Saccharomyces cerevisiae S288C: one gene and its partners. The gene in region 1 interacts genetically with each later gene. Each region holds a gene or a part of one and is shown on either strand. Other genes may lie near its edges.

Region 1 (2,667 bases):
GTTGGACGTCACCGTAAGCCTTTCTGATGGCCATCAAACCTGGCATTTCATGTTCAGCCAATTCGATTTCCTTTCTACCGAAGGCAGCCAAAGAGATATCAGCGATTTTGTAGTTTTGAGCTGGAGCAGACATTGGGAATTGTTCTTTTTGTCAGTTGGGTTATTTCGAGGAGAAGAGGATTTTCAGAAAGAAAGAAAAACAAATAGGAATGGAATCATGGAGTTAATAAACCACGTTACTAAATAAGAGATTGGAAAATCTAAAATACGGCTTCGAGGTCGTTTAATTTTCTTTTTCCTCTGAAAATTTTCTTTCTTTTTCGGCCTTAGCCTGTGAAAATTTCGGCCGAAAAAAAAGCCAACGAGATCACGTGCACAGAAATATCTGCGTTAGAGGAGAGAGGTAGGGATACTTACAGAAATGAAGCCAAATTGGCAGCTTTTTGAGAAATAATCATGAATGATAAACAATTGCTGTTAAATAATGTACGGAAGGTTTGGATAAAGGTTGCTATAGGCATTATATAAATAAATCATCTCTATATAATTTTTTTTACAGGATATGCTTGCCCTTACATCAGAATTACCAAGCAACACCAGTGTAGTATTCTCTTTGTTTGTACATCCAAACCAAAGAGGTGGTTGAGACAACCAATGGACCCATGAATCCCTTTCCCAACTTACAAGTTCTAAAGATCAATAATTCAGAGCCGAAGTGGAATAGGGCAACCATATAAGACATGAAGACCAATTCGAAAATGTGTGGTTCATTCAAGTACATAGCCCCATAGAATCTGATAACACAGGAAATAAAGGTCCAAGTACCGAAAGTTCTTGCACTCAAATGGGTTGTTTCAGTGGGTTTTCTTTCGTAGACTTTACGTGTCAATTCTAAACCAGAAACGTAAGTCTGGATAGAATTGAAGACTGATACAATGGAAATGAAAAGTAACCATTTTGGTAAGTAACCTTTTGGCATTGCTGCCAAGGTGGTCTTGGTTGTAGTTATTACGTCTTGTAGGCTGAACATTATCTGATACTTTAGTGTATTTGAATCCTTCGATACTATGGTCTAGCTAGTGTCAAGAATATAAAAACCTGAAATTAGTCAATGCGTTTACGTCAAAAATAGTAGCAATAGTAAAGCAAAACAACAGGCTTGTTCAGCTTAGTTTTATATACGGGGGTAGAGAATACAATGGATCGTACCTTTTTTTTTGTTTCCTGTTCGTTCCGTCCCCGAACGAAAAAATCATAAAATAGAAGTTTCCTATCGGTAATACCGTAAAGTTTAATTCAGTTCGTATAAGATTAGGTTAATCATGGGCAAGTCCGGAAGAAGCGTTTTAATGTAGGTCTGTTGGGGAAGATGTTGTGTTCACTGTAATTTTCAACTGAAGTTGTTGTCCCCGAAATGAAAGAGCTTTCGATATTTTTGTGTTTTATAATGCGCCTCCTACTGCAAAAGAAAAATTAAATGTTTTCTGTCTCATTGAACCATCTTGACAATCGAAAGCGCGCTATCAAATTTCTTTCGGCAGTAATTAATAAGGCCGCCTGTATATATTTCCTTTTCTTCTGAAGCGATATTTCATGAGCCGGAAATTTTTCCAGGAAAGGTTTTAAGTGCTGCCATTCAATGCTTTCAAATGTCTCGAGCAATGATAGAATAACTATCTTGAGTATTTTCAATAGACCCCCTAACTCTTTTTCTGGGACACCGCTTATTACACTGTAAAAGTTCTTTAAGTAGGTTTTCTTCAAACTCAATTCTCTTTCGAGGTATACTCGACAGTACGCCTTTTTCCGGTTGATGCATATTAGTTTATGCTTCGATACAAATCTAATAAGTACATGTATCAGACTTTCGATGATGATAAGTATGTGTTCAATTAATTTCAGAACAGATACGTATTTTAATATCTGCGGTTCAAATGTTTGGTTTGTCTTGATTTTGATGAGTTGAATGTTAATAATAGAGTAAATAAGGGTAAAATGCAACGAACACAAGCGCTTGTAGTCAACTTTATCACATAAATGTTTGCCATCTCCCTGGTCGTAAAAGTTTTGAAGCCATTTTGGATCGTTTTGGTTCTTCTTCAATAAAATTCTATTAAACAGAAACTTGGCGATGAAATTGAAAACATGAACGTCTATCAGTGTCCTCTTAAAAGAAGAATCAGAATCTATGCGATGCGAATAATGAGAAACTAACAAGATTTGGAGTGTTTGAAACACTTGCGATAACCCTCTAAAGTCAATTTCTTTTGTTTTTAAGCTCAGGATTTTTAGCAGAATTTTATATCTCGGTAAAAACCAGTTGTTTATATCAGCAGTTGATACATCTTTGCTAAATGATTGCAGCTCCTTTAAACCAACTGCATCTTCGAAGCTTTTGTACTTATTCTGGCAAAGGAAATTGTATATAGGTTCCAGATGAGCAAACAGTGATTTATTATTCAAAAATCCATTTTCGAAAGGCGCAACCCATTTGTATATATGTTTTGAGTTTTCCCGAGGATTTATTTTTAAATTTTTTTCACTCTTGAGAGCACCTACATCTTCGACATCTCCTTTCTTTCTTGAAAGTGCCCTCTTCCACAACGTAGGATTCCTGGATTGAATTAAAGCAAAACACTGTCATAGATAATATTCGAGGAGATTACA
Region 2 (3,690 bases), on another chromosome or scaffold:
TGTGTTTTAACAGTGCTATCATGACAAATTGGCATATGCACACTAAAATTCCCAAAAGTCCAATTCCAAGAACACACAGTGCTCTTTCGGAGGTCATATAAGCCACTACCCATTCTATTTTTTGTTTAGTCTTTGGGTCAATGTTCTCTGGTGATTTTCCAAAGGTAACAAGATTTGTCATCCAGCCTGCTATTCTTGTGTTCCATGTTTGAAAGCACTGCTGATAGCTTGCAATGACATCATATTGGCCATTTTGTATAGGAGGATCTCTAAATGGATCTTTCAATTCGTGCGTGTTTTCACTGGAAAAGGACGTATACGAATCTTGCCTGCTCAGCATGTAATGGTCTCTCATTCCGCAAAGGCGCCTCCAGAGCTTGATTTCATTCCATGCAACGGGCGCCATCGCACCAACAGCGAAGCATATCAATACGGTAATGCACACTACGGTGGCTATTTTCAGGACATGTCCCAAGATGGAATAAAAGGCCAAAATTTCTGATTGATTGGATGAGCAAATCCCAGTACTGTTGTCAAGGGACACGGGAGGTACGTACAAAACGGAGGTATCTCCGATTATATTGCTGGCATTCACGGCCTTGATATTCTTCCGAACTTCATTGAAGGGAACCGAGATCAGGTTCTTGGTTGTATTCTTAACCTGGGCAAAGTCCGGCGTCTTTGCCGATAACTCTTCAAGCTTATCGTTGATTGAGGAAGGAATGTATAAATTGTGAAGCGCAGATATGGTTAAGTTGACGCTTTTGATTGACGACGTCATGTTACTGTCATCGTCATCACCTGTGAAAAAATTCTCTACTTTGGATGCGGCCTTGATCACTTTATTGATTATTTTGGAGATGTCATTCAAGCCCGTATCCAATTCATTAGCCACACTTGAAACTGTATCATTGACTAAGCTAATCAGTTTTTCTGTAATGTTAGTAGCAACGTCCACGGTACCATCAACGGCACTAACAATCAAACAGGCATAAGTGCCCAAATACAGGTCAATGGCAAAGTTTACCAGCCCCTCGCTCGCATATACTATAAGTGATAACGTCTCTAGCGTAGCTTTAACAGTCTCCTCCATACCCTTCTCGATAAGATAATTCCCCATGATACCTAAATAGTGCGGCGTGTTGTCTGTCATCTTGGAGTATAGTGAATCAATACTGTAACAATTGGACAAAATATACGTTTCCGAGACTTCTATCGCATGTTGTATGGATTTGGAGAAAAACAGAAGCTTCAGCATTGCTAGCAGCAAAACCAAAGTATACTTATTTAGCCATATTTGAGAGAGCCTGTCACCCAATTGCAAATAGCATTTAAAACCGCTCATATCATCAACGTTCACAAATTCGAAAGGGAATCATCCTAACCAAATATTTCGGGATTATCTTAAGGACTTATGTTGGTCACATTCGTCATATATATATACCTCTTGCCAGCAACAGGCCAGTTATAAGTTAAAATTAATATGTGACGCACTTCTGAAACAGTATTGAAACAGTATTGAAACATATGTATTACCCGGACTCTGCATGCTCTGTCGTTCATTTTATTTTCACCTAAACGAAAATCCCGTGAAAAAAATTTATATCGCCTTTCGCTCTTTTGTATGTAGGCATCATCGGAAATTTGCATTGTGTGAAGGTTGTGCATATAAAGGGTTTTGCATAACGGACGTTTTTCACGTACTCCGTCTGAGCATCAAGTGAGGCTTGAGTTTACGTTTGTTTTTAATAATCAGTTTTCATTCTACTATTTTCTTGCGCAATTGCTTATCAGATAGACCTTGTAAACAGCATAGGAGTAAAGACAAATTCGGTGTAGAGAATAAAAGGATGGTATCAGCTTTGAATCCCAGAACTACAGAGTTTGAATTTGGTGGGCTGATTGGTGCCTTAGGCATCAGCATAGGGCTGCCTGTTTTCACTATCATCTTGAATCAAATGATAAGGCCCGATTATTTTATTAAGGGATTTTTCCAGAATTTCGATATAGTTGAGCTTTGGAACGGTATCAAGCCATTGCGCTACTATCTGGGCAATCGTGAATTATGGACTGTCTATTGCCTGTGGTATGGAATACTGGCAGTTTTGGACGTCATTTTACCGGGCAGAGTCATGAAGGGTGTTCAGTTAAGGGATGGTTCGAAGCTTTCGTATAAGATCAATGGAATTGCCATGTCTACAACTTTGGTCTTAGTTTTGGCTATCAGATGGAAATTGACTGATGGACAATTGCCTGAATTGCAATATCTGTATGAAAATCACGTTAGTTTATGCATAATATCTATTTTGTTTTCGTTCTTTTTGGCGACGTACTGCTATGTTGCCAGCTTCATACCATTGATCTTCAAGAAAAATGGTAATGGCAAAAGGGAAAAGATCTTAGCACTAGGTGGAAATTCAGGAAACATCATTTACGATTGGTTTATTGGTAGAGAACTGAACCCTCGTCTCGGCCCATTAGATATCAAGATGTTTTCAGAGTTGAGACCCGGCATGTTGTTATGGTTACTGATCAATCTTTCCTGTCTGCATCACCATTACCTGAAGACTGGTAAAATCAACGATGCATTGGTCTTGGTTAATTTCTTGCAAGGATTTTACATTTTCGATGGAGTACTAAACGAGGAAGGTGTATTAACCATGATGGATATCACTACAGATGGGTTTGGTTTCATGCTAGCGTTTGGTGACTTAAGTTTAGTTCCATTCACCTACTCATTACAAGCGCGTTACTTGAGTGTTTCCCCTGTGGAATTGGGATGGGTGAAAGTTGTCGGTATATTAGCCATAATGTTTTTGGGTTTCCACATCTTCCACTCGGCAAATAAGCAAAAATCTGAGTTTAGACAAGGTAAATTAGAAAATCTAAAAAGTATTCAGACAAAGCGTGGTACAAAGTTATTATGTGACGGGTGGTGGGCTAAATCACAGCATATCAATTACTTTGGCGATTGGCTGATTTCATTAAGTTGGTGTTTGGCCACCTGGTTCCAAACTCCCTTGACATATTACTACTCGTTGTACTTCGCCACGTTGTTATTACACCGTCAACAACGTGATGAGCACAAGTGCCGCCTGAAATATGGCGAAAATTGGGAAGAATACGAAAGAAAAGTTCCTTACAAGATCATTCCATATGTTTATTAAGTTTTTCTACCACTGCTATTTTCTTCATTATCTATGTATGTGTGTATACATGTTATGTATTGGGTGAGTATGAGGAAGAAGAAGAATAACAATTGAAAACGCTGGAAAAATTAAAAGGGGCGGTGGTCTATCTATGCAACGCTCCCCTTTTCGTTACATGAACACATCAAACTTGTATATCCTTTGAGTGTTCTTTAATCAAGTCATCTTGGTATTTTAGTAGCGTTTCCACTACTTTAGGGACAAATTCAGACCTAACCAATCCATCAAAAGCATCAAACCCTTGCGACAAAATCGGAATATCAGACTCGTCATGCATAAACTCTGGAATTTCTAGTTTCCCGTCCGCAAGTATGCCGTCATCATCCTCGTCGTCCTTATTAGTATCCAAATTTGTCACTTTGACGTTCATCGACAACTGTAAGTCAAAGTAGCAAATCGGCTTGCCCTTCCTTTGAGATACGTTGGAGTCACCGGTGATGCTACTCACCTGGGTTAACTCAATTTTGCTCTTCCCATCAGA
Region 3 (4,689 bases), on another chromosome or scaffold:
ATCCGTCTGTTCAAGGCGGAGTAGTGCAAAAAAGTCGAGCCGTCAAGCCCCAAACGTTCAATACTTCCATGTTCTTCAACGCTAAACGCGACATTTGCGAGTCCTACCACGTCTTCTCCGTTTACGGGCAAAAACACCTCTTAACATCAAAAATTTGGCTTTCGTGCTTTTTTCTGAAATATATTCGTTGCATAGACACGGTATGCATATGAAACATTCAGGCTAGCAATCAATACTTAAACCCTTTACGGGCGTGCATGATGTATCAGGAAACCAGTTTGAGAATGTCGCCCACCAAGCTCCATGGAAAGGCGCAAACCAATTACGCGGAACACAAAAATGGGCCTTTTTTTGATCGCCTCAAAGGCCGGACCAGGTTCGTTAAACGTCTGTAGAGGTGCCGAACAATTTTTGTCTAGAATAAATTTCCATTTTTCTGGCATTTAATTCTAGGCTTTCTGGTCTCTTTGTTCTTGCAGCTAGCCCATTGGGTGCTCTTCAAAATATGTCAATATCACCTTGATTTTGAAAATGCGCCCGTAAAATTGGACTTATGCTACAAATATATTCTACAGGAAAAGATCCGCAAGGTCTGCTTTAGCGTAAAAACGACCTCCCAGTATTTTATATAACCTCAGCCATTTCACTGAATGATACATAGTAGCATATATAGCTAGGCCTAAATGTATTTTTTTTTACAACTTTTTAGATCGCTGCGTGAAGGATGAAACTTCATATGAGTACGGACGTTTGAAAGGGTAGAGTGGCGCTAGCATAGAAATGCCATTTCTCGGAGGTGTCATCATTCGAAAAGAACTCAATTTTCAAGCGATTGAGATTCAAAGGCAAACCGATGCCTCCTCATTGGTCACATCTTCATGTAAACTGTGGCTGCTTTTTTTTCTAAATACTCTATGACTACAGCTTTCCTTTGTACAAACTCAAGTTTATTTAATCGTCTTTTTTAATGTTTATGTTCAACATACCCGAAACCACTACAAGACGGAAAATACTAGAGAAACATCAACAAATGAAAAAAAAAGGCTACAATCCTCGGATGAAACTGATAAAAACGAGCACAGTATATGCCGAGTCGTAGCATTTAACGTACTAACACTACTCGCCAAATCATAAGAGCTTCATGCTGACGTGTGTATCTATATCGCTTTTACAGATCCTGCAACCGACAGAGCCGAAAACGTAATTGGTGACTCGTTCCTCGTTCTTGTCGGAAAAATTTAAACGAGCGCGTTCGATAAACTCAACGAAGGCAAGTTTGAACAATAGATGTTGGTCGTAATCATTCGTTCTTCGACTTTTATAGCCTTTTTTTTAACTTAACGAACTCGTACTATCTAATAGTTTATTTCCCCTTGTTTTTTTTTGTTACGATTGGGGAAAAGCAAGGGTTCCCTGCGTCTACGATTACATCATCTACTAACTAGTCACCGAAATCGATTATCGTCGAAGGAGAAGCAACCAAGACCTCCACTTTTCAAAGGCACAAATAACATTTCGCCTTTACATAATATAGAGGAGTTAAGTCGACGGTTTTTTTCATTTAAGGTTTATATTTCGTTTATCCATAGATCTCCATCTAACATAACATGACATCCGATGATGGGAATGCTGGACAAGAAAGAGAGAAGGATGCTGAACTGATTGAGGTTGGGGGCAAGAAAGTGAGCAAGACTTCGACAGGGAAACGGAAGTTTCATAACAAGTCCAAGACCGGTTGCGACAATTGTAAAAGAAGAAGAGTAAAATGTGATGAAGGCAAACCATTTTGCAAGAAATGTACAAACATGAAATTGGACTGTGTTTACAGCCCTATTCAGCCAAGAAGAAGAAAAGATTCTTCGTCGTCAAAATTTGCATCAGCGGTCCACGATAGGGTAGGCAAGAAAAATCTGAGTGACAATGCCATCATGTTACAACAACAACAACAGCAACTTCATCATCAACAAGAACAGCAATTTCGTCAACAACAGCAAGTTCAGTTACAGCAGCAACTGTTGCCACATGTTGGTACTGATGAACAAAGCAATTCCCCTAATAGCGTTCCTCCATCCGTATCCAATAATATGGAGAATCTTTTGTTACCGCACCTATTAGCGAGTTTAGTGAATAACACCAGTAACAGTACCAACAGCAGTGCAAATGGAGCTGAAGCGCATAATAATATAACACAAACAGCTCCCAGTTCAATGATAAACAACAACCACCCAAACATGGCCCTACCAGGGAATTCGCCATTGAGTATACCGATAACACCTAGTTTTCAATCAACGGCCATGAATTTATCAAGTAGCCTTAACGGCTTACTCTCGCCTGGTAGGCTAAATTCGGTGACGAATGGATTGCAGCAGCCACAACTTCAACAACAAAATCAGCAAATTCCACAACAACAAGGAACACAGTCCCCCTTCAGCAATATTCCCTTCGACCAGCTAGCGCAATTGAACAAGATGGGCTTGAACTTCAATATGAAGAGCTTCAATACATTATTTCCATACGGTGCTGCAAATGGAATGGCCTCTGAGTTTCAAGAGTTATTTGGCCTCGGAAAGTTTGCTACATCTAATAACAGAGCAATCAAAGTTAGCACAGCAGAGGAGGCACTCGCAAATATGCAACAGGAACAGGAGGACAAAAACAAGCAATTTACGAAGAACCCATTGGATAATACTAAGACGGATGCTGTTAATTCGGGCAATAACCCCCTTAACGGAAACGAAAATAAAGTTACTGCTTCTGATATACTATCTCATAACAAAAACTTGATAATCGACAATACCGGTCTCACAATCAGTCCCCCACACACGTTGTCCAAACCTTCCATAGATCAAAACATTGCGTCCCCTTCAACGGGAGTATCCAATGTAACCTCTACAAAGTCATTGTTATCTATACCGGACAACAGGACCGCTTTGGGAAATTCTCCTACTTTGAAGACGTCCCCAATGGGTGACCTGTTATCCAACTCGGAGGCATTGTCTCCACGTTCATCAAATTCTCACACTCAACAACAATCTTCTCCCCATTCAAACGCTTCATCAGCCTCACGACTAGTCCCTGAATTAGTCGGGCTGTCTAGAAAATCAAATTTGAATTTGATAGATCTAAAACTTTTTCATCACTATTGTACTGACGTATGGCATACCATAACCGAAGCAGGCATTTCTGGTCCTGAAGTATGGAGCACTTATATTCCGGATTTGGCTTTTCATTTTCCCTTCTTGATGCATACAATTTTGGCTTTTAGCGCCACTCATTTGTCCAGAACTGAAGCCGGCTTGGATAACTACGTGTCTAGTCATCGTTTAGAAGCGTTGAGACTGTTAAGAGAGGCTGTGCTCGAAATTTCAGATGATAACACAGATGCTTTGGTGGCTAGTGCTCTAATATTAATCCTAGATTCATTGGCAAATGCTTCAAGCAGCTCACCAACGGCATGGATTTTCCATGTTAAAGGCGCCGTAACTATACTAACTGCTGTATGGCCCCTGTCGGAGACATCCAAGTTTTATAACTTAATTTCTGTTGACTTGAGTGATTTGGGTGAAGCTGTAATCAACCAAAGTAATCATAATAATGATAATGACAATAGCAATAATGGTGATGGAAATAACAATAATACGATATCGGAACTCGTATGCTTTGACGAAAGTATAGCAGATTTATATCCCGTAGAAATTGATTCACCGTACTTGATAACTTTAGCATATTTGGACAAACTGCATCGCGAAAAAAATCAATTAGATTTTATGTTGAGAGTCTTCTCATTTCCTGCTCTTTTGGATAGGACTTTTTTAGCATTATTAATGACAGGCGACCTAGGGGCCATGAGAATAATGAGGTCTTACTATACATTATTGAGAGGTTATACCACAGAAATAAAGGACAAAGTGTGGTTCTTGGATAGCGTATCACAGGTTTTACCACAGGATGTTGATGAGTATAGTGGAGGTGGTGGTATGCATATGATGCTGGATTTCTTAGGAGGTGGGTTACCTTCTATGACCACTACAAACTTTTCAGCTTTTATGTAATTTATCAAAATATAAACTCTTTTCTTTCGATGGGTCAGTGCTACAGAATGTGAACCTCATCGATGAATAACTACATTATGTTACTTCCGAATATACTGGCCATTTTGAGGAATCCACAAAAGGAAATGGATACTTATACATAGTAGTATTATTATTTCTTCTTTCGTTTTTATATGTTGTCAAGTGATCATTAATAATAACATGAGTTGTTATGGTAACAATTTAAATGTTTACATAGTATATTGAGGTACACCCGGTATACGTTTATGTGTAAATGCACTAATCACAGGATAAAAACTTAAGCGAGCAATTCAGACAATGCTGAGCTGAGTTAAAGATATATTGATTGAACATAATGTGGTAGCTACTTATATATATGAGGAATACGGGTCACCACACTAAATACATAGTAACTACCAAAGGCACTTTTATGTTAATAATAAATAATAATGAGCAAATCTAATGCTTTCTTGAAAAATAGGTGGATTTTATGGGTGAATAATTGAATAATTGTTGGGATTCTATTGTTAAAGGCACTAATAGTGGGCATACGTTAATGTGCCAGGAGAATATAGCAACATTGAAGGGAAATGACATCTCTACAGAGCATCACTATTTTTTCTTCTTCAATTTAATT

Evidence for each region.
Region 2: mutations in ERG28 (region 1) and ERG24 are lethal when combined (synthetic lethality), as found in Saccharomyces cerevisiae (one study listed by BioGRID).
Region 3: mutations in ERG28 (region 1) and ECM22 are lethal when combined (synthetic lethality), as found in Saccharomyces cerevisiae (one study listed by BioGRID).

What each region holds. Positions count from the first base shown.
Region 1 is NC_001137.3:236,987-239,653, forward strand, and holds ERG28 (Erg28p), read right to left. Parts: upstream 1,031-2,667; coding exon 584-1,030; downstream 1-583. Other genes in the region: SAH1 (adenosylhomocysteinase), read right to left, coding at 1-133; MEI4 (Mei4p), read right to left, coding at 1,474-2,637. UniProt on the Saccharomyces cerevisiae protein: Part of the third module of ergosterol biosynthesis pathway that includes the late steps of the pathway.
Region 2 is NC_001146.8:108,572-112,261, reverse strand, and holds ERG24 (delta(14)-sterol reductase), read left to right. Parts: upstream 1-1,850; coding exon 1,851-3,167; downstream 3,168-3,690. Other genes in the region: pheromone-regulated protein PRM1, read right to left, coding at 1-1,345; HCH1 (Hch1p), read right to left, coding at 3,334-3,690. UniProt on the Saccharomyces cerevisiae protein: Delta(14)-sterol reductase; part of the third module of ergosterol biosynthesis pathway that includes the late steps of the pathway. ERG24 reduces the C14=C15 double bond of 4,4-dimethyl-cholesta-8,14,24-trienol to produce 4,4-dimethyl-cholesta-8,24-dienol.
Region 3 is NC_001144.5:599,382-604,070, reverse strand, and holds ECM22 (Ecm22p), read left to right. Parts: upstream 1-1,607; coding exon 1,608-4,052; downstream 4,053-4,689.